Callithrix jacchus: one gene and its partner. The main gene of each other region encodes a partner of the protein of the gene in region 2 in a complex. Links are inferred from orthologs where the notes say so. Each region holds a gene or a part of one and is shown on either strand. Other genes may lie near its edges. The genes, in order: PRDX1 and SIRT5.

Region 1 (10,704 bases), on a different chromosome or scaffold from region 2:
ACCCAGGAGTTGGAGGTTGCGGTGAGCCGAGATCGCGCCATTGCACTCCAGTCTGGGTAACAAGAGCGAAACTCCATCTCAAAAAAAAAAAAAAGACCAATAAGAAGTCAGAGCCTTTGCACTTCTCTCACGATGAACTATAGTAATGGAACAAGTATGGTTTAAGTAATCATATGTGTGTTCCTACTCTGCCTGACAAGACAGGAAAAATTTTAAACTAGGCACAGTGGTGTGTGCCTATAGTCCCAGCTACTCAGGAGGCTCAGGTGGGAGGATCCCTTGAGCCACGAGTTTGAGGCCAGTCTGGGCAACATAGCAAGACTGTCTCAAAACAAAAATACAGCCGGGCACGGTGGCTCAAGCCTGTAATCCCAGCACTTTGGGAGGCCGAGGCGGGTGGATCATGAGGTCAACAGATCGAGACCATCTTGGTCAACATGGTGAAACCCCGTCTCTACTAAAATTACAAAAAATTAGCTGGGCACGGTGGTGCATGCCTGTAATCCCAGCTGCTCGGGAGGCTGAGGCAGGAGAATTGCCTGAACCCAGGAGGCGGAGATTGCAGTGAGCCGAGATCGCGCCATTGCACTCCAGCCTGGGTAGCAAGAGCGAAACTCCGTCTCAAAAAAAAAAAAAAAAAAAATACATAGACATAAACACACACAGAAAAGACAAAAGTATTAGTGAGTAACAGAACCTCTAGCTGCAATTTTAATGAAGTCACTCAGATTAACCATTGAAATAGCTCTTCGAACTGGCCAGGCAGCCTTCTAGCCACAACCAACAGGCCTAAATACTTAAACAATTCCAAACATTCCCTCATTTCCAGGGAGCAGCAATGTTTGAAAGTCAGACAGGCTGGGTGTGGTGGCTAAGTCTGGCATGGTGGCTCATGCCTGTAATCCTATCACTTTGGGAGGCTGTCAGGTGGATCACCTGAGGTCAAGAGTTCAAGACCAGCCTCACCAACATGGTGAAACTAGTCTATTAAAAATACAAAACTTAGGGCTGGGCGCGGTGGCCCAAGCCTGTAATCCCAGCACTTTGGGAGGCCAAGGCAGGTGGATCACGAGGTCAAGAGATCAAGACCATCCTGGTCAACATGGTGAAACCCCGTCTCTACTAAAAATACAAAAAATTAGCTGGACATGGTGGCACATGCCTGTAATCCCAGCTACTCAGGAGGCTGAGGCAGGAGAATTGCCTGAACCCAGGAGGCAGAGGTTGTGGTGAGCTGAGATGGCGCCATTGCACTCCAGCCTGGGTAACAAGAGCGAAACTGTCAAAAAAAAAAAAAAAAAAAAAACTAAGGAGGCTGGGCAATGTGGCTCAGGTGCTGTCATCCCAGCACTTTTGGACGCCGGGCAATGTGGCTCAGGTGCTGTCATCCCAGCACTTTTGGAGGCCAAGATGGGAGGATTGCTTGAGGTTAGGAGTTCAAGACCAGCCAAGATCACACCACTGTACTATAGGCTGTGCCACAAGAGCAAAATTCCATCTCAAAAAAGTCAAGTCAAACAAGCAGCCCTTTTTGACATTTACCATTGTGCAGTATCACTGGAACCTAACTCATCTAAACAACTCCTCAGGGCTTTGCCTAACAAGCACCATGGGGCCTCAGCAGGTCAAGCCCTGAAGGGCAGAAAGCAGCTCCTCCTAGACTTCCTGCTTATACTCCTGGGCCAAGGTCACCTCTCTATGGTACAACTTAATCTTCTTTGCCAGGAAAAGCCCCAACAACTAAGTGTGATTATGTTCAGGAAAAATAGTCAAATGCTCTTACCAAAAGCGAACTCCAGAACCTGATGCTACACCACTGAGAAAAGGACACTTTACACCTGAGTTTCAGGTTTGCATTCTAAGGAATCTATATCCTCAACTGTCCCAGGAGATCCAGCTGCTCTGGAACTACAAGACAAACGGAGAGCCTCAACAGAACTTGCCAAGTGTCTGCATGAAACTATGACAACAGAAAGAAGAGTTGTTCCATCTATAACATCAACTCTCCTCTGGGGTCAAAACAGTCAAGGCAAAGTGCCCAGCCCTCAGTCTAATATTAACAGCTGTGATATATATGTGACCCAAACAAGCTTTACAAGCAGTGTCACAGCTCCAAAGATTTGAGTGAGCTTCAAGACTTTAAATGTAGAATATCTCTTATAATGAGATAATGAGAATTTCTCCAATAATAAAACAGAGGAGAGTGGAATGCAGTGGCTCACTCCTGTAATCCCAGCACTTTGAAAGACTAGGGCAGGCAGAGGGCCTGAGCCCAGGAGGTGGAGACCAGCCTGGGCAACATGATGCCCATCTCTACAAAAAATGCAAAAACTAGCCGGGCGTGGTGGTATGCCCCTACAGTCCCAGCTATGCAAGAGGCTAAGGTGGGAGGATCAGCTGAGCCCAGAGAGGCAGAGGCCTCAGTGAGCCATGACTGCTACACTGCACTCCAGCCTGGGGGGTGATGCAATGAAACCCTGTCTCAAAAATTAAAATAAAATAAATAAAAAGACAAGGAATACTCAAGAGAAAACTGAACTAGTATGTCCAAACATAATGGAGCATGTGGTTTCTCCAGAAGTGGTCTGGTCCTAGGATATATACACTGTAATCACTTGATTAATCACCACTTCACTTCAACATGAAGGCAACAACCAAAATACTTATTCCTAGGAGACAAAACATTTTACAGTCAAACACAACACTGACACAGATCTAACATGCCATTTCTAGAATATAAAATAACTCCATCTCAATGAGCCCAGTGTAATTACTTTTACCTTTGTAGTCCGACAGGCTGATATCTTTAAACTGACCATCTGGCATAACAGCTGTGGCTTTGAAGTTGGGGGCAGGGTGCCCAATTTTAGCATTTCCTGAAGACATCTTCCTATCAGCTGGAAAAGAGAAATGAATTAGAAACAAGCCTTAATTTTCTAGATAACCGGCAGCCTGCACCTACTAAGAGACTTAGCTGTAGAACAATCAAGGAATTGTCCAGTATGTCCCTGAATACGTTAAATGTTGTATTAGTAAGAAGCTCAAGCAATCTGAGCTTTCCAACTTGTGGAACAAAACAAGACTCTGAATCTCGGCCTTTGTTTTCATTTAAAAACAGCAAGGCAATTTCTTCATATACTGAAGTCACCTCTCACTCTTTCTGAATCATGATTTGTGCAGGCATCTTACTCATTATACAGAAGCAGAGATGGAGCAGGTGAAGACTCTCAAACCAGAATCCAAATGCACAATGCCACAAACGCTTTTGTTTGGCCTGGAAAAAATCATGTTGACCTTTCCCATTACTGGGCCTCCACCAGCCTTCATAACGTCAGAAGCATATTTGACTTTTCTCCAGGTAGCTGTGTCTAAAACAGCACACACCTACAGCCAATACAACTTTTTTTTTGAGACGTAGTTTCGCTCTTGTTGCCCAGGCTGGAATGCAATGACACAATCTCGGCTCACGGCAACCTCTGCCCTCCAGGGTACAAGCGATTCTCCTGCCTCAGACTCCTGAGTGGCTGAGATTACAGGCATGCGCCACCACAACCGGCTAATTTTTTTGTATTTTTAGTAGAGACAGGGTTTCTCCATGTTGCTCAGGCTGGTCTCGAACTCCCAACCTCAAGTGATCCACTCGCATCGGCCTCCCAAAGTGCTGGGATTACAGAAGCGAGCCACCGCGAGGGTAAGCCAAGATCGCGCCACTACAGTTCAGTCTAGGCGACAGAGCAACACACGATCTCAAAAGAAAAGAAAGAAAAACACAAAGAAAAAAGAGACAAGACCAAGATATTGGCATCTGCTCAATTTCAAATCTTTAGGTATTGTGTACACCCGAGAAGTCCCTTCACAAACGGGTTTCTGACTTCGGGTCTAATATCACAGGACGAAAATAAGAACAAGAACAAATTTACTGCTGAAAAGAAATGTTGCGCTGGATTCACCCAGGTCAACACCAAGATGAGTATCGAGATCTTGGCCGGGAGCCCCGTCTCAAGCCTGTAATCCTGGCTACTCGGGAGGCTCGGGCAGGAGAATCGCTTGAACCCGGGAGGCGGAGGTTGCACTGAGCCGAGATCGCACCACTGCACTCCAGCCTGGCTGACAGAGCGAAATTCCGTCTCAAAAAAAGAAAAAAAAAAAAAAAAAACCAGAGATTTAACCCACTAAGCCTCGGTCTCAAAGTTTTCTCAAAGTCCCAAAGTTCTTGGTTCATAATACCACAACCAAAAGAAACTCTGTGAGCAAGGATCTTAGCCAACTTTTTACTGCTTTTTTAAAAGTCGCCTAAAAAAAAAAAAGTCCTTAAAACCTTTAACGACAAAACACAAAAACAAAAAACTAAGGCATACTGCAACTTGGTGACCCTATAAATGGCCTCTTGTCCAAACCTACATTCCCAGTTGGCCCGAAAGTCCAAAACCCAACCAATTCTGGGTAAAGGCTGCTGGGTTTTCGGGCGGCGCCGGGTCCCTTCAGGGGATCTGCTCAGTGCCGAGGGCCACACCCCTAAACTCCAGGTACCCGGCTCTATCACACCCAACACAGGGAAAGCACCAGCAGAAAGAGTGCTTCAGCGGGGGCATTTGGGCTCTTAATTCCATTCCACGTACAAGAAAATAAAGATGGGGAAAGTACCCGAAACTCCGAATCTAGTCAAGGCTCAGGACCCGGAACAGCCTTTACCCTATCACAAGATAGACAAGTATAGGCTGTTTTCTACAGCCACTAGTCCGGACACAGGTCCATTCCAGAACCTTCCCGAACCCACCCAGCCCAGCAGGAAGCTAGAGTTAGAGACCCCACCACCAGCCCGCCCCGATGCCGCTTCACGTGCTCGGGTTGCCGGGGTAAGACTCGACTAGCATCCACGCTAGACTTGGGATTCAACCAGGTGCCCCCACCTACGCGGGGGGGCCACGTGAGGGGTGCACGTAGCGCTCAGGCAGTCTCGGGCGCCGGGCCTCCCCCCGCTCCCTCAAGCACCACAGAACCCCAAGCCGAGCGCAGACGGGCCCCGGACAGGAGGAGGAAGAGGCAAAAGGCAAGTACGCGCCGCACCTCGCTCAGCTAAGGCCGCGCCGCTCACACTCACCAGTCCTGACACAAGCCTCAGAGAACAAACCACCGGACAGAAAGAGGACGCGCAAAACTCGCTCGAGGCGCAGCCTTTATAGCTATTACGGCTCTCGCGAGAGTCGAAGCAGGCCGGGGGTGCAGGAGGAGGAGAGAGGGGAGGGGGATGTGGCAGGAACCCCGCCCCACCCTGGCGCGCCCCGCCAGAATGACTCGGCGCTTTCCCTCTTGGGGGCGGGCGCGGAAATGCTAATCCCCCTCCCTACTGCGGACTGCAGAGGTTGGAGTGAGGCACCCTTGTGGCCGCTCCCAAACCCAAACGTTTAGGTTGATCCTAGATCTCTGCGGAAAACCAGGATTCTCTTTACTTCCAGGACCACTGCGCACTGTACCCTCAATGCCCAACCCGGAGTAAGCCTCCTAGCTGCTGCCCACGGAGGACCACGTCGAACCATACCAAGCCCTGAGAACTGTATATCCAAATATTTCTTAAATTCGCAACCTTAACCCCACCTCAGATCCTGAGTAACTCCTGAGTAACCCTCATAGCTTACATCGTTTCCTTCACTGTTCACTTTGATTACAGGGTTGCTGCTTTCTGTTGTAAAGGAAAATAAAGTCTGAGGACACCTAAACTTGTGAAAGTTCAGCTTGGGAGGCTGACTCAGGTACACAACCATCCTCTCTACGGATGAATAACTGACTTTACAATCTTGGGTCAAAACATCACACATTAGCCATCCATCACACACGGTTAGGCAAAAGGCCTCAGACATTTCCTGATGACTACCCCCGACAAACACACTCACAAAATCATTCATAATTGTTTGCTACCCTGGAAACCGTTATAGCCTCCCATAAAACAAGGACGTGTCAACTGTAACTAGATCTTCAATCTAAAGTCTAGTTCCTAAAACTAAAGTTTGTTCTATTACGCTTTTTTTTTTTTTTTTTTTGAGACGGAGTCTCACTCACTTTGTCTCCCAGGCTGCAGTGCAGTGACCGGGTGTTGGCTTACTGCAACCTCCGCATGCCAGGCTCAAGCGATTCTTCCGCCTAGCCTCCGGAGTAGCTGAAACTACAGGCACCCGTCACCACGCCCAGCTAATTTTTGGTATTTTTAGAAGAGATGGAATTTTACCTTGTTGGATACGCTGGTTTCCAAAGCCTGGTCTCCAACAGCTCGCCTTAGCCTCCCAAAGTGCTGGAATTAAAGGCGTGAGCCACCGCAGCTGGCCTCCATTCCAGAAATTCCATAAATGTTGACTACTAGATAATCTTTTCAGGTGCAGATTCCCTCACCCCTCCCTGAGTCCACCACATGTTTTTTTTCCTGTATTCCCTTTTTCCTCAAACGTTCACCTTAACTTTTTCTGAGACAGAGTTTCGGTCTTGTTACCCAGGCTGGACTGCAATGGCACAATCTCGGCTCACCGTAACCTCCGCCTCCTGGGTTCAAGCAATTCTCCTGCCTCAGCCTCCCGAGTAGCTGGGAATACAGGCGCGCACCACCATGCCCAGCTAATTTTTGTATTTTTAGTAGAAACGGGGTTTGACCATGTTGACCAGGATGGTCTCAATCTCTTGACCTCGTGATCCACCCGCCTCAGCCTCCCAAAGTGCTGGGATTATAGGCTTGAGCCACCGTGCCTGGCCCGTTCACCTTATCTTATGTAAAAATGTAGATTTGCTTAGAATTAGCTAAAGTCTTCGTCTCACTCCCACCCCCACTTTTCAAGGAAAATGTATAAATACTAAAAACCTCCTGAGAACCACTTGGGAAGAAACAGTCACAGAAGTGTCTCTGACGTAGTTTAGTCAGTTTAGTCATTCATTTCAATTAATGCTCTCTCTTCTCCATCCCTTCCACTGCAGCTAAAGGAAATCCTTCTGAAATTTGATCATGTCACTTTTATTTGTGGTTTAAAAGCTGGGGATAAGGGCCAGGCGCGGTGGCTCACTCTTGTAATCCCAGCACTTTGGGAGGCCTGAGGCAAGCGGATTACTGAGATCAGGAGTTCGAGACCAGCCTGGCCAACGTGGTGAAACCCTGTCTCTACAAACCAAAAATTAGCTGGGCATGATGGTGGGTGCCTGTAATCCCAGCTAATCAGGAGGCTGAAGCAAAAGAATCACTTGAACCTGGGAAGCAGAGGTTGCAGTGAGCCCAGATCACACCACTGCACTCCAGCCTGGGCAACAGAGTGAGACTCTGTCTCAAATAAATAAATAAATAAATAAAAGCTGGGGCTCTGTAGTCAATTTACTGAGTTAAAACTCCTCACTGGCCAGGCACGGTGGCTCACACCTATAATCCCAACACTTTGGGAGGTGGGAGGATCACCTGAGGTCAGGAGTTCGAGACCAACATGGTGAAACCCCGTCTGTACTAAAAATACAAAAAAAATTTAGCTGGGCATAGTGGCAGGCACCTGTAATCCCAGCTACTCTGGAGGCTGAGGCAGGAGAATCGCTTGAACCCAGGAGGCGGAGGTTGCAGTGAGCTGCGTAATGCATTCCACCCTGGGTGACAGAGTGACTCTGTCTCAAAAAAAAAAAAAAAAAAATTCCTCGCTGTCATTTTAGGTATGACCTTGGGCAATTCTTAAACCCATCAAACCTTACTTTTCTCACCTGTAAAATGGGAATAATATTCATACTTCATTGTGATTATCTATGTAGTTCAGTACAGTTCTTAGTTCTTATAAATTAGTAATGTTAGCAGTTACTGTAACTCTTCCATTCCTCTCACTTATAACACCCAGAACACAGCGTAGCTGTTTCAAGCCTTCAGACTTTTTTTTTTTTTTTTTTTTTTTGAGACAGAGTTTCGTTTGTGCTCCCAGGCTGGAGTGCAACAGCAAGATTTCAGCTCATTGGAGCCTCTGCCTCCCAGGTTCAAGTGATTCTCCTGCCTCAGCCTCCTGAGTAGCTAGGACAGCTAGGACTATAGGTATGCGTTACCACGCCTGGCTAATTTTTTCTATCTTTAGTAGAGATGGGATTTCACCATGTTAGCCAGGCTGGTCTCAAACTCCTGACCTCAGGTGATCAACCCACCTCAGCCTCCCAAAGTGCTGGGATTACAGGAGCCAGCCACCGTTCCCGGCCGCCTTCAGACTTTTGTTCGAACCTGGAAAACTCTTTCCCTCCTAACTGGCCTAGAGAAAACATCTTTCAAGAGTCAGCTGAAGCATTACTTCCTCTCAAAGTGTGTCTTACCTTCACTCATTCCCAGGATTTACAATTCCCCTTCTTTGTGTCCAAACAATAGCCATATATATATTTTTTTTTTTTTTTTTTTTTTTTTTTTTGAGATGGAGTCTCACTCTGTCACCAGGCTGGAGTGCAATGGCATGATCTCAGCTCACTGCAACCTCTGCCTCCCAGGTTCAAGTGATTCTCCTGCCTCAGCCTTCTGAATAGCTGGGATTACAGGTGCGTGCCACCACACCCAACTAATTTTCTTATTCCTTTTTTTTTTTTGAGACGGAGTTTCTCTCTTGTTACCCAGGCTGGAGTGCAATGGCGCGATCTCGGCCCACTGCAACCTCCGCCTCCTGGGTTCAGGCAATTCCCCTGCCTCAGCCTCCTGAGTAGCTGGGATTACAGGCACACGCCACCATGCCCAGCTAATTTTTTGTATTTTTAGTAGAGGCGGGGTTTCACCATGTTGACCAGGATGGTCTCAATCTCTTGACCTCGTGATCCACCCGCCTCGGCCTCCCAATGTGCTGTGATTACAGGCTTGAGCCACCGCGCCCGGCCCTAATTTTCGTATTCTTAGTAGAGACAGAGTTTCACCATGTTGGCCAAGGTGATCTCAGTCTCTTGACCTTGTAATCCGTCTGCCTCAGTCTCCCAAAGTGCTGGGATTACAGGCATGAACCACCATGCCTGGCCCAAAAATATATTTTAAGCAATTTTATTTTTATATCTCTGCCTCTGCCTGCTAGAGTGACTTTCTGGAGAGTAGGATGTGGGTCACATCTGTCTCTGTGTCCCCAAGTCACAACACAACATCTGATGTAAAATAGGAGCTCAGTCAGTGGGCATTCAATCAATAGTATTCCGTTCCTCTCTCTGTCCCCACTTCCCCCACTAACTCCCTTGGCTTTTATAGTAGGATAATGAATGAGAAAGTGCTATGTCATGATGACTGAGCGTCTCAATTTTTGTTATTTATCATACTACCTTGCATAGTAATGATTTATTTGCTTTTTCCTTCTTTGCTTGAGGCTGAATAGTTATTTGGCATTATTCCTTTTTTGTTTTTTAACTTTTTTTGTTTGTTTTGTTTTGTTTTTGTTTTTGTTTTATATTTCTGTCCTTACTGCTTATGCATTTTTTTTAACTTTTATATCACTTTCATTATTTTTTATCAGGCAGCCACCCAAGCCAGTTTAGGCTCAGAGAGACTCTCCTTTCTTTCTTGAAGGAGCAGAGGCAGCATAAAAGTTCAGAGCTTAATAATGGAGGCTACGGGCAGACTAAACCAATACATAGTGCACACAGTCATACTTCAGCCCAAAGAAAATTGTCACCTATTTTATCCACCATGTGCCAGGCACTGGGCTGAGCACTTGAGTTTATTTATCTCATTTAAGAACCAAAAGAGGCCGGGCATGGTGGCTCACACCTGTAATCTGAACATTTTGGGAGGCCGACATGGACTGATCACCTGAAGTTGAGAGTTCGAGACCAGCCTGACTGACATGAAGAAATCCCATCTCTACTAAAATATATAAAAAATTAGGCAGGGCGCGGTGGCTCAAGCCTGTAATCCCAACACTTTGGGAGGCTGAGGCGGGTGGATCACAGGGTCAAGAGATCGAGACCATCCTGGTCAACATGGTGAAACCCCGTCTCTACTAAAAATACAAAAAATTAGCTGGGCATGGTGGCGTGTGCCTATAATCCCAGCTACTGAGGGGCTGAGGCAGGAGAATTGCCTGAACCCAGGAAGTGGAGGTTGCGGTGAGCTGAGATCGCGCCATTGCACTCCAGCCTGGGCAACAAGAGCAAAACCTTGTCTCAAAAAAAAAAAAAAAAAAAAAAGAACCAAAAGAGGACAGGTACAGTGGCTCACTTGTGTAAACCTAGCACTTTGGGAGGCTCAGGTAGGCAGATCACTAGGTCAGGAGTTCAAGACCAGCCTGACCAACATGGTGAAACCCCATTTCTACTAAAAATACAAAAATTATATGGGTTTGGTGGCAAGTGCCTGTAATCCCAGCTACTCAGGAGGCTGAGGCAGGAGAATTGCTTGAACCCAGGAGGGGGAGGTTGCACTAAGCCAATCACGCCACTGCACTCCAGCCTGGGTGACAGAGCGAGACTCCATCCCCCCAAAAACAAAAAAAGATCCAAAAGAGAGTGGGGCACATTGGCACATGCCTGTAGTTCCAGCTACTTGGTAGGCTGAGGTGGGAGGATCGCTTGAGCACTGGAGTTTGAGCCCAGTTTAGGTAATTAGTGCTGCAAGTCCCAGTCTCTAAACAAACAAACACAAAAAAATGACCATGCGCAATGGCTCAAACCTGTAATCCCAGCACTTTGGGAGGCCAAGGCAGGCAGATTACGAGGTCAGGAGTTAGAGACCAGCCTGGCCAACATAGTGAA
Region 2 (10,091 bases):
AGCTGGGCATAGTGGCATGGGCCTGTGGTCCCAGCTACTCTGGAGGCTGAGGTGGGAGGATCCCTTGAGACCATGAGTTCAAGGCAGCAATGAGCTATGATCAGGCTACTGCACCCCAGCCTGGGCAAGAATGAAACCCCCATCTCAAAAAAAAATTAAGAGAAATAAATTCTTAAAATATAAGAAATGCATTCCTTGGATTTGAATGCAGACTCTTTAAATGCAAGTGGCTTTGGGAGAAACCCTAGTTTGCCCATTATGACCGTGGAAGAATGGATGTATTAGATTTAGGGTGACAGCAAAGAAGGGAGGAGCCAAAAGACAGAGTGAAGAGATGAGGGGCCACCCAGGACAGAGGAAGGAGGCCACAGGGACCCAAGACAAACTCCACTGACATCACAGGCTAGGTGGGGTTGGTGCAGTACCTGGTACTGAGCTGGCAGCTCCCTGAGGTTCCAGGCCGAGGCAGAAGCACAGTCTCAGTGGGGAGTGTCCACCGGGGCAAACAGAGAGGGAGAGGAGACCCCCAGATGCCATAGCCTGCCCCTGCCTGATCCTGCTCAAGCCCTGCCTGTCCAATGGGCCAGGCCTTCTGTTCCTCGGCTCAGTGAGGCCATTGTCTCACAGCACTGCACCCCTCTACAGAGGCAGGGGTCACACAGCTGTGCAGCCCAGCGTTCCTCCAGTGTAAAAGGCACTTCGGCCACCTGGGCTCATGGGAAAATGCAGATTCTGATTTTGTGGGTCCGATGGGGCCTGAGATTCTGCATTTCTAACAAGCTCTCAGGGGATGCCAAACGTTGCTGGCTCTCAGACCACACTGAGCAGTGAGGATGTAGGAACTGCCAAGTGAATAATGTCAGTGGGTCAGGGCTCCTCCCATGGCCAAAGGCAGCTGCCCAGGTGCCACAGGGCACTAACATGTCCCGGAAGGAAATGCCACAGCATCCTAAAGGACGAGATGGGTGTCCAGCAAGGAGGGAGGGAGGCCAACAGAGGTGATGCTGAAATGGCAGGATAGGTGTTCTAAAGCTGGTTCCCTGAACATGAGGCGGGGGGTACCTCACCATGGATCTCCAGAAGGTTTTTGGTGCCAGCCTTGCGGTGCAGTTCATCGATGTTCTGGGTGATGACCATGACTCGCCGGCCCTGCTTGCCCAGCCGGGCCTCACACTCTGCTATGGCACGGTGCCCGGCGTTGGGCTCCTTGCTCACCATGACCTCCCGCCGGTAGTGGTAGAACTCCCACACCCGGGACGGGTTGTGGGAAAAGGCCAGGGGAGTCGCCAGGTCCTGGGAGTGGGAGAGGAGATAGGAGTGAGGGAGGCAGAGGCAGCCAGGATGCTGAACCCTGGGCACAGGCCTTTCCTCCCTAAGGCAGAAACAAGCAGCATTGGGAGGGTGCAGGCTGGAGGTCGAAGCACTAGGTTCAAACAACATGGCATATGCCACGTGGCAGGGCCTGGGTACCAGCCTATGTCCCCATCCTGGGACTGCCCTGGGACCTTGGAGAAATCAGTTTCCTTAGTGACAAGGCAGGAAGAATGCAACCTATCCCATTCCCCCACACCAAGTAAGTTGTGAACATGAAGTAAAGTAACATGCAGGAAGGTATTTTGGGTCAAATCGCCTTTTTCATGGAGCTCTAAAATATGAAGTGGATCTCATTTTGACCTATACCCAGGAAAAACATAAAATGCAAAATGCCCATTGAGGTCTAATGACCATGGTTGAGAAACTCAGTTTTTATAACTATAGCTATGGCTCTACACACACACACAACTACACACATCTATACACATGCAACTATACACACGACTAAACATACATACACACAACGACATGCACAACTACACATATACAACTATACATACACACAACTACACACACAACTCAACATACATACGCACAACTACATACAACTCAACTTACATATACACAACTACACATACACAACTCAACATACAAACTACACACAACATACAACTAGACACATCTCAACATACACACTACACACACAACTAAACATGCATACAACACACACATAACTACACATATCTACATACACACACAACTGCATACACATACAACTAGACATACACACGACTAAACATATACATAACTACACACATAAACTAAACACACAAACTAAACACATCTACATATACACTGCACACACACAGCTAAATACACATGACTACACACATCTACAAACACAACTGCACACTACACACACTACACACATACACACAACTACATACACAAACTAAACACAAACTATACACATCTACATATACATTGCACACACACAGCTAAACACACATATACAACTACACAAACTACACACAGCTGCACACACAACTATATACAACTACACATACACACATACTAAACACATACACACAACTACACACATATAAACTATATGCACATGCAAGCAACTAAACATACGACAGAAACTAAACACACATAAAACTACACACATCTACATATACACTGCAGACACACAGCTAAACACCTCTATATACACACACAACTGCACGCACACAACTACACAAACTAAACATACACAGCTACACACATACATACTACATACACACAACTAAACATACACACAGCTACACACACAACTATACATACATACACACAACTAAACATACACACAGCTACACACACAACTATACACACATACACACAACTAAACATACACTCAGCTACACACACTACACATCTACATACACACACAACTGCACACACACAACTAAACACACATACATCTACATACAACTGCACACACACAACTAAATGTAAACACAACTACAAAAATCTACATACACACAACTGCACACACACAACTAAATGTAAACACAACTACAAAAATCTACATACACACAACTGCACACACAACTAAACATACACACACAACTATACATCTACATACACAAATAAGTGTACACATACAACTAAACACACACAACTAAACATACACAAAACTATATACATCTACACAAACAAGTGCACATACAACTAGACAGATACATCTAAACACACAATTACACAACATACAACTAAACATACACAGCTACATATATCTGTTAATACATACACAACTACACACATCTACATGCATACACAACTATACATACATGCAACTATACACACAACTAAACACACACACAACTACACATAAAAAGTGTATATTATATATAAACAGAACAGATAAAATACATATACTTCAGATATGGTTCTAGGAGAGACAAACCTCCTTTCTCAAAAAGGAGCCGAGTAGAGGTTGAGCTGGGAGCTGGCAGGGAAAGGCATAGGGAACTTGCAGCAAGGACTGAAACGTTGTTTCTTGACAGTGGAGGTGGGGTGTTATATGAGTGCATGCACCTGTCAAAACTCATCAAACACAATGCACACAGGTGCATTTTATTCTAAGGAAATTCTGCCTCAATAATAATTTTTAAAAGAAGCATGGCTTCTCTATCAAGGAGACGCTTCCTACACTGAACACGTGTGCATTTCATTCTACTGTAAAGGCCCCTCTGCTTGGAGGCAATGTCAGCCTTTGCCACATGAGGGGCTTGCTCTCCATGCAGAACACACAGCCTGGAGTAGTTTATAGGTGGCACACGAACATGTCCACAGGTGTCCTTGGAAGGAGGTTGGAGTCAAATACATTCTGTCTACTTCTATGCTTTGCCCACAAACTCTGAGCTTTTTTGGACACAACTAAGCGCCCCTCTTCCAAGCTCCTCCCACACCCTCTGACCTCCCACCCTCTGCTGCTAATCAAGGGACTTCCCTGTGGTTCCTCTTTCTTGCTGGCCCCTAAAGTTCTCTGCTCTCTTTTCTCCCCCACTTCACCTTTAAGGTAACAACCCCCACCCTTCACCTAGAGGGCAGAAGGCAGGAGGCAAAACACCCAAACACCTGCCAGCCTCGGCTGTTCAGAAGAAGGAAGGGGCAGGTTCATGAACTCTGCATTCAGTGAGAAATAAGCTACTAACCCTGGAAGACATTTATTTATTCCTGCTTTCATTCAACCAACGAAAACCTATTAAGCACCTATAATGTGCCAGAGTTCTGGAAACTGGAGACAGTGCAATGAATAAAACAAACAGAGGCCTGGTATGGTGGCTCACGCCTGTAATCCCAGCACTTTGGGAGCCCGAGCAGGCAGATCACCTAAGGTCAGGAGTTCGAGACCAGCCTGGCCAATGTGGTGAAACCCCATCTCTACTAAAAATACAAAAATTAGTGGAGTGTGGCAGTGCATGCCTGTAACCCCAGCTACTAGGGAGGCTGAGGCAGGAGAATCACTTGAACCTGGGAGGTGGAGATTGTAGTGAGCTGAGATCATGCCACTGTACTCCAGCCTGGGCAACAAGCAAAACTCCATCTCAGAAACGAACAAATAAACAATTCCTTGTCCTCCAAAACTAGGATTTCCTGAGCCAGTGGGATGGGAGAGCACAGACTACAAAGGGCCATGAGGGAATGTTCTGGAGGGATAGAAATGTTCTACATTCTGATTATGGTGCTGGCTATACAACTATGTCCATTTGTTAAAACTTACTAAATTGTACACTTAAAATTGGTGACTTTTACTTTATGTATATTAGATCTAAAAAAATTGAATTTAAAAAATCCACACCATCACAGAGCTTACATTCTGAAGGCTTTCCTATAGATTTTTGAATATCGAACCCTAATCTTTCAATAATCAACATTAGTTTTAATTTTGTCATACGATAAGTGCAGTAACTTTAGGAAAGTAATGAAAGATGCTAACCGTGGTTTTCCGATTTCACTTTAACACAACTATTAGGAGAAACTGATATCTGAATTAATGCAATCTATACATATCTAAAAAGGAGAGTAGCAGCCTTACTTAAATTTTATCTTAATCACAGGAACTTTGTGTTTATGCCAAAAGCAATGGGACAATAGGGTCATAGTTAACTTCCAAAACATTTCCCCAGGTTTCAGGGCTCGGTATAGGATCTGAGTCAAACACTGTTACAGTTTCATCAGAGAGAGGCTTTCAGTGTTCTGGAAACATTACAAACCTGGGCTTGCCATTTTCTCCAATAACCTCCAGCTCCTCTGAAAGTCGGAACGCCACTTTCCACACTAACACCGGCCCCTGAGATGATGACTATGTGCTTTGATTTTGCAAAACACTTCCGAAAATCTGCCATACCTAAACAGAATAAAATCTTCATCAGTCCAGTGTACCATTTGCACATATGTATCCCATATCAATTGTCTATATCTTGAAACTTGACCCAGTGTGAAATCATACTTTAGGATAAACAAACATCAATTCCTGTACCATAAAGACACCATCCTATGAAGGCCTGCTGGGTGAGTGTACAATATTTTAAAGAAGCAGAGGCTTTGGGCACACAAAGCTGGCTTTGCATCTCAGTTCAGCCTCCCAACTAAATGTGTGATCTTATGCAAATTACTTAGCTTTTTCCATTCTCAGTTTCTTTGGCTCTTTGAGGTGCATAGTAGTGCGTTCCCTAGAGCAGGGATTTTACAAAGATTAAAAAAAGCCTAGTAGAAGCTGGGCATGGTGGCTCACACCTGTAATCCCAGCACTTTGGGAGGGAGAGGCAGGTGGATCACAAGGTCAGGAGTTTGAGACCAGCCTGGCCAACATGATGAAACCCCATCTCTACTAAAAACGCAAAAATTAGCTGGGCATGGTGGTGGGCACCTGTAATCCCAGCTACTTGGAAGGCTGAGGCAGGAGAATAGCTTGAACCAAGGAGGCGGAGGTTGCAGTGAGCCAAGACTGTGCCACTGCATTCCAACCTGGGCGACAGAGCGAGACTCCATTAAAAAAAAAAAAAAAAAAGCCTAGTGGGAAGGAATCCATCTTCCTTCATAAAAGTAAAAACAGGCCTGTATGTTTGTGTGAGTGCTGAGTTGAGGCCCACTGTACCCCAAAGCCTACCCTTCCTCCCTAAATTCACCTTCCCTTTGGGGATCTTGCTACTTTCAGCTTCCCTCAGCACAGCGACTGAAGGAGAGGACAAGGGCCTTATTTGAGGACACATGATCTTCTTGACAACTCAAATAAGAGCCAAACTTTTCAACAGGACACTGCCAGAGACTTGGGAACTGAGCAAAGGGAACTGAGCACAGAGAGTAACACTAGAGGAAGTAACTGTGGATACAGACCAGGGCTCACCCTCCTGTCCTAGAACTCCAGGCAGCCTCCTGCCTGAACACAGACACACAGGGGCAGCAGCTACGATGGCAAGGGCTCCCTGCACCCCAAGTGCTATGCCAAACACTTTACATGGATCACAAGCTGGGATGTTTTCCCTGAAACAACTCTCCTCATGCCAAAAGAAGAAGCAGGAGCCAGACTTGAACTCAGGATGGGGGAGCTGCTACTGTTTCTATTGGGCAGCAGAAACTGGGAAAAGGCTGGAACACAGCTTGTCTCCCCTTTTCTCCCAGACACTACAGCTCTGCAGGCCCTTGTAAGTTAGATAAGCACTATGGCCCTGGAAAGCCAGAATTAAGGGGTATAGCACTGAACATAAGCTGCCAGGAGAAGAGAGAGCCCCTTTTCTGCCCTACCCCTGGAGAAATGAGTGCTGTACCTCATTGCCTGCTGCAGTCCCAAGACACTGAAGCAGGGAATGCCCCGCCCTGGATATGGAGATCTTCCAAGGACGGCCAAGCTGTGTTGAAGCACTAAGGGTTCCAGCAAACATGGAACTGCATTTCTCGGTTGACTAAGCTGGCTTCCTGGCCTTCCTCTCTTGAAAGAATGGCAACCAAGGCTACCCCTTGTACTGAACGAATGAGGGGACGCTAACCCTCCCCTGAAAGATGGAACCAGTGACAGGCAGGAAGCCTGCTAGAAGGAAGATAGTGGGATAGGGGCTTGGAGACAGTGAACTTGAAAATTAAAGGGAACGTGGCCTCATTTTGTATCCCAGCCATAAGGGGCATCCTACTGGTTTTCACGTATGGTTGAGTCCCTCTAAGCAGGGATGGGACTTCCTGGTCCTTCGAAGCCCAGACCCACACACTCTGCCCAGCTCAGGATAGAGACTGTTAATAAGGGCTCAGCCCTTCCTCCCCTTTCCTTATTCTCTTCCCTACCATGGACTCCTGGTAAAAATGAACTCAGAGGAAGAGTAGGCTTTTTCCTCTTGGGCTCCATTCATGTTTTGGCAGCACAAGGCAGAGACAAATTAGGACAGTCACAACACGCCATTCTCATGAGGTGTGACGAACCCAACTACCCCGGCAATCATGCTAAAGCCCTACCTGAACTCACATCCCTTCCCGAGTAGCGTGTTACCTATCAGCAGACAGATAAGGCCTACGACAGGCAGACTAATGTTGTCCAGACGGGAAGCATTTGGAAAAATTACAAACTTGACCTGGTGGATTCCAGTTTCTAATCTGATATAATCTCTTGAAAGAACAAGATGCTTAATAAAAAACATAACATACTTTCCTAGGTTCAACCCATAGGAACATCCTTAAGGACTTCAAAATCTACCCCTAAAACTCCCTCTAGTCCTAAAGGTCCTTTCTATCCCAAATAGAAACTGTCATCCTCCTGATGAATATATTTCTAGGTCAGAGTGACTTCTTTTAAGACAGAGTTTTGCTCTTGGTGCTGTGTGGAGTGCAATGGCGCAATCTCAGCTCACCATAACCTCTGCCTCCTGGGTTCAGGCGATTCTGCTGCCTCAGCTTCCCGAAAGGCTGGGATCACAGGCATGTGCCACCATGCCTGCCTAATTTTGTATTTTTAGTAGAGACAGAGTTTCTCCACGTTGGTCAGGCTGGCCAGAGTGACTTCTATCAAGGTACCCCTTAAAGTTACTTTTAGAAACAAATGTTAAGAGTCAACCTATGTTTCGTTCTTAGAAAACAGGATGTAAAATACAGTAATGTTAACGTGGTATAAAATCTTAAAAAGAAAAAGATATTTCCCAATGGCTAAAGGAAAATACGCCAGCATGTTCTGTGGTTTCAAATGTCAGCGGCCCACTTTTAGCCGAGGTCAGGCACACGCTTCTGCACCCCACCACAGACGCTAGCACCCTGCTAGAATGGAGGTGCAGTGGAACGGGATCTTTCGGTTCTTTTCCACTCCTGGGGCAAAATGGAAGCAGGAGTTATTAATCCTGAGCAGAAAAGTTATCCAAAAGTTGAAAAGGAAGCAAAAAGAATTCAGCTTGGCCTTTCAGTTTCATTCTGAAGCATTGTTCAACAGGCCCACCTAAGAATCGCCGAATTATAAACATTTGTGAGACTTTATATTCTTGTAGACTTGGGGTGCAGATAGGTTAATCTGGAGGTTTCTCCCAGGGAGAGCTACAAAATATTTCTGTCCAGGAGAAAATTTAATCTCACACGGCCCTATAGGACAATCACCAATTTTCCTCCCCTGCAGAGAGATAAGGACTTTAAAGTACAAAACATGTGTCAAAAGCTTAAATGCAAATATTCTGGCAGAAGCAACAAAATGTTCTCCATGGACTTAATGTGAGTATTAAGAAGACCGGCTCTGAAGGCGCCCTAGAAGGGGTGCCCTAAAAGAGAAGAGGACAGGGTGGCTTTCTCCAAAATCTTGCCCAACACCTAATTTGACACTGACATACAAGTGTAGGACTTTTGGGTACTTCACATTCGGCCGCAGGTGAGGCAATGGGTAAGAATGACTTACTTGAACTTGGCCGAGCCATTTTCAGGCAAATCCGGTTTTGTGCGGAGGCTTCAGGCTTCAGGCCACAGTACAGCTGGGAAATCAATCGACTTGGGACAATCTGGAGAGGTCGCATCAGGGTTTGTTTGTAGTTCTAATGCTTGAGGTAGGCTTTAGAAAAATCACAAAAACAAATGTTATAGAAACAATCAGCAAACATTTTTAGATATAGAAATATTTATAAATATATTTTTTCTATATTATAGAAACACACTGTGTATATTATACACACATGCCACACATACATGAACATCCTTTAAAAAAAATCTTTAGTAACAAATCATGGAAAACTGGCTGTTTTCCATCTGTGTTCTCAAATGCTCCCAGGATGTGCAGAGGTACCTTGGAGCAGTGCTTCTCAAAATGTGTTCCCTAGACCAGCAGCATCGGCATCACCTGAAATCTTGTTAGAAATGCAACCTCTGGTTCCACCCCAGACTTGCCGAATCAGAAACGCTGAGGGTGGACCCCATCATCTATTTCCAGGTGCTTCTAGTAACTACTCAAGTTTGAGGACCACTAAAATGCACATGAAAGAGTTAGATATGAGAATTCATTGAAAAACTTGCGGCTTTTCAAAAGGTATGTGGCCTGGCACAGTGGCTCACGCCTGTAATCCCAACACTTTGGGAGGCTGAGGTGGGTGGATCACCTGAGGTCAGAAGTTTGAGACCAGCCTGATCAACATGGTGAAACCGTATCTCTATTGAATACAAAAAATTAGCTGGAAGTGGCAGTGCCATGCCTGTAATACCATCTACTTGGGAAGCTGAAGCAGGAGAATCGCTTGAACCCGGGAGGCAGAGGTTGCAGTGAGCCGAGATTGTGCCACTGCACTCCAGACTGGGCGACAAGAACAAAAGCTCCGTCTCAAAAAAAAAAAAAGGTATGAAAACCACCACTAGTCTCTGAACTTGCGGTCAAAGTACAGTTTCTTTCTTATAATTCGGATAGGACATTGCTCTGTCACCCAGGCTGGAGTGCAGTGGTGCACAGTGATGTGATCACGGCCCACTACTGATGACTTCCTGGGCTCCAGCGATCCTCCCATCCCAGCCTCCCCAGTAGCTGAGACTACAGGCACATGCCAGCATGCCTGGCTAATTTTTGTAGTTTTGGTAGAGACAAGATTTCACCATGTTGGCCAGGCTGGTCTTCATCTCCTGAGCTCAAGCCATCTACCTACCTAGCCCTCCCAAAGTGCTGGGGTTACAAGCACGAGCCACAGCACCGGGCTCAAAGTACAGTTTCTATGAGAATGTAATTTCTAACTGAGAACTAAACTCTGAAGGGAAGAAGTGTATTGTGCCAATAAATAGTATTAAGATGACAT

Evidence for each region.
Region 1: the proteins of SIRT5 (region 2) and PRDX1 are in contact, whole or in part, in a crystal structure (PDB 8Z54), measured with the Homo sapiens proteins. The link is inferred for Callithrix jacchus from reciprocal best matches to the Homo sapiens genes SIRT5 and PRDX1. Residues at the interface, in NP_001363727.1 of Homo sapiens: Ala86, Tyr102, Arg105, Gln140, Ile142, His158, Val220, Val221, Trp222, Phe223, Gly224, Glu225, Asn226, Leu227, Leu232, Val253, Val254, Tyr255, Pro256; in NP_001189360.1 of Homo sapiens: Phe195, Ser196, Lys197, Gln198.

The regions. Positions count from the first base shown.
Region 1 is NC_133508.1:82,244,743-82,255,446, forward strand, and holds the start of PRDX1 (peroxiredoxin-1), read right to left. Parts: upstream 5,153-10,704; 5' UTR 5,068-5,152; intron 4,928-5,067; exon of another isoform or gene 4,645-4,927; intron 2,898-4,644; 5' UTR 2,887-2,897; coding exon 2,781-2,886; intron 1-2,780. UniProt on the Homo sapiens protein: Thiol-specific peroxidase that catalyzes the reduction of hydrogen peroxide and organic hydroperoxides to water and alcohols, respectively.
Region 2 is NC_133505.1:17,077,264-17,087,354, forward strand, and holds part of SIRT5 (NAD-dependent protein deacylase sirtuin-5, mitochondrial), read right to left. Parts: intron 8,870-10,091; 5' UTR 8,835-8,869; coding exon 8,720-8,834; intron 5,210-8,719; coding exon 5,076-5,209; intron 1,294-5,075; coding exon 1,068-1,293; intron 1-1,067. UniProt on the Homo sapiens protein: NAD-dependent lysine demalonylase, desuccinylase and deglutarylase that specifically removes malonyl, succinyl and glutaryl groups on target proteins.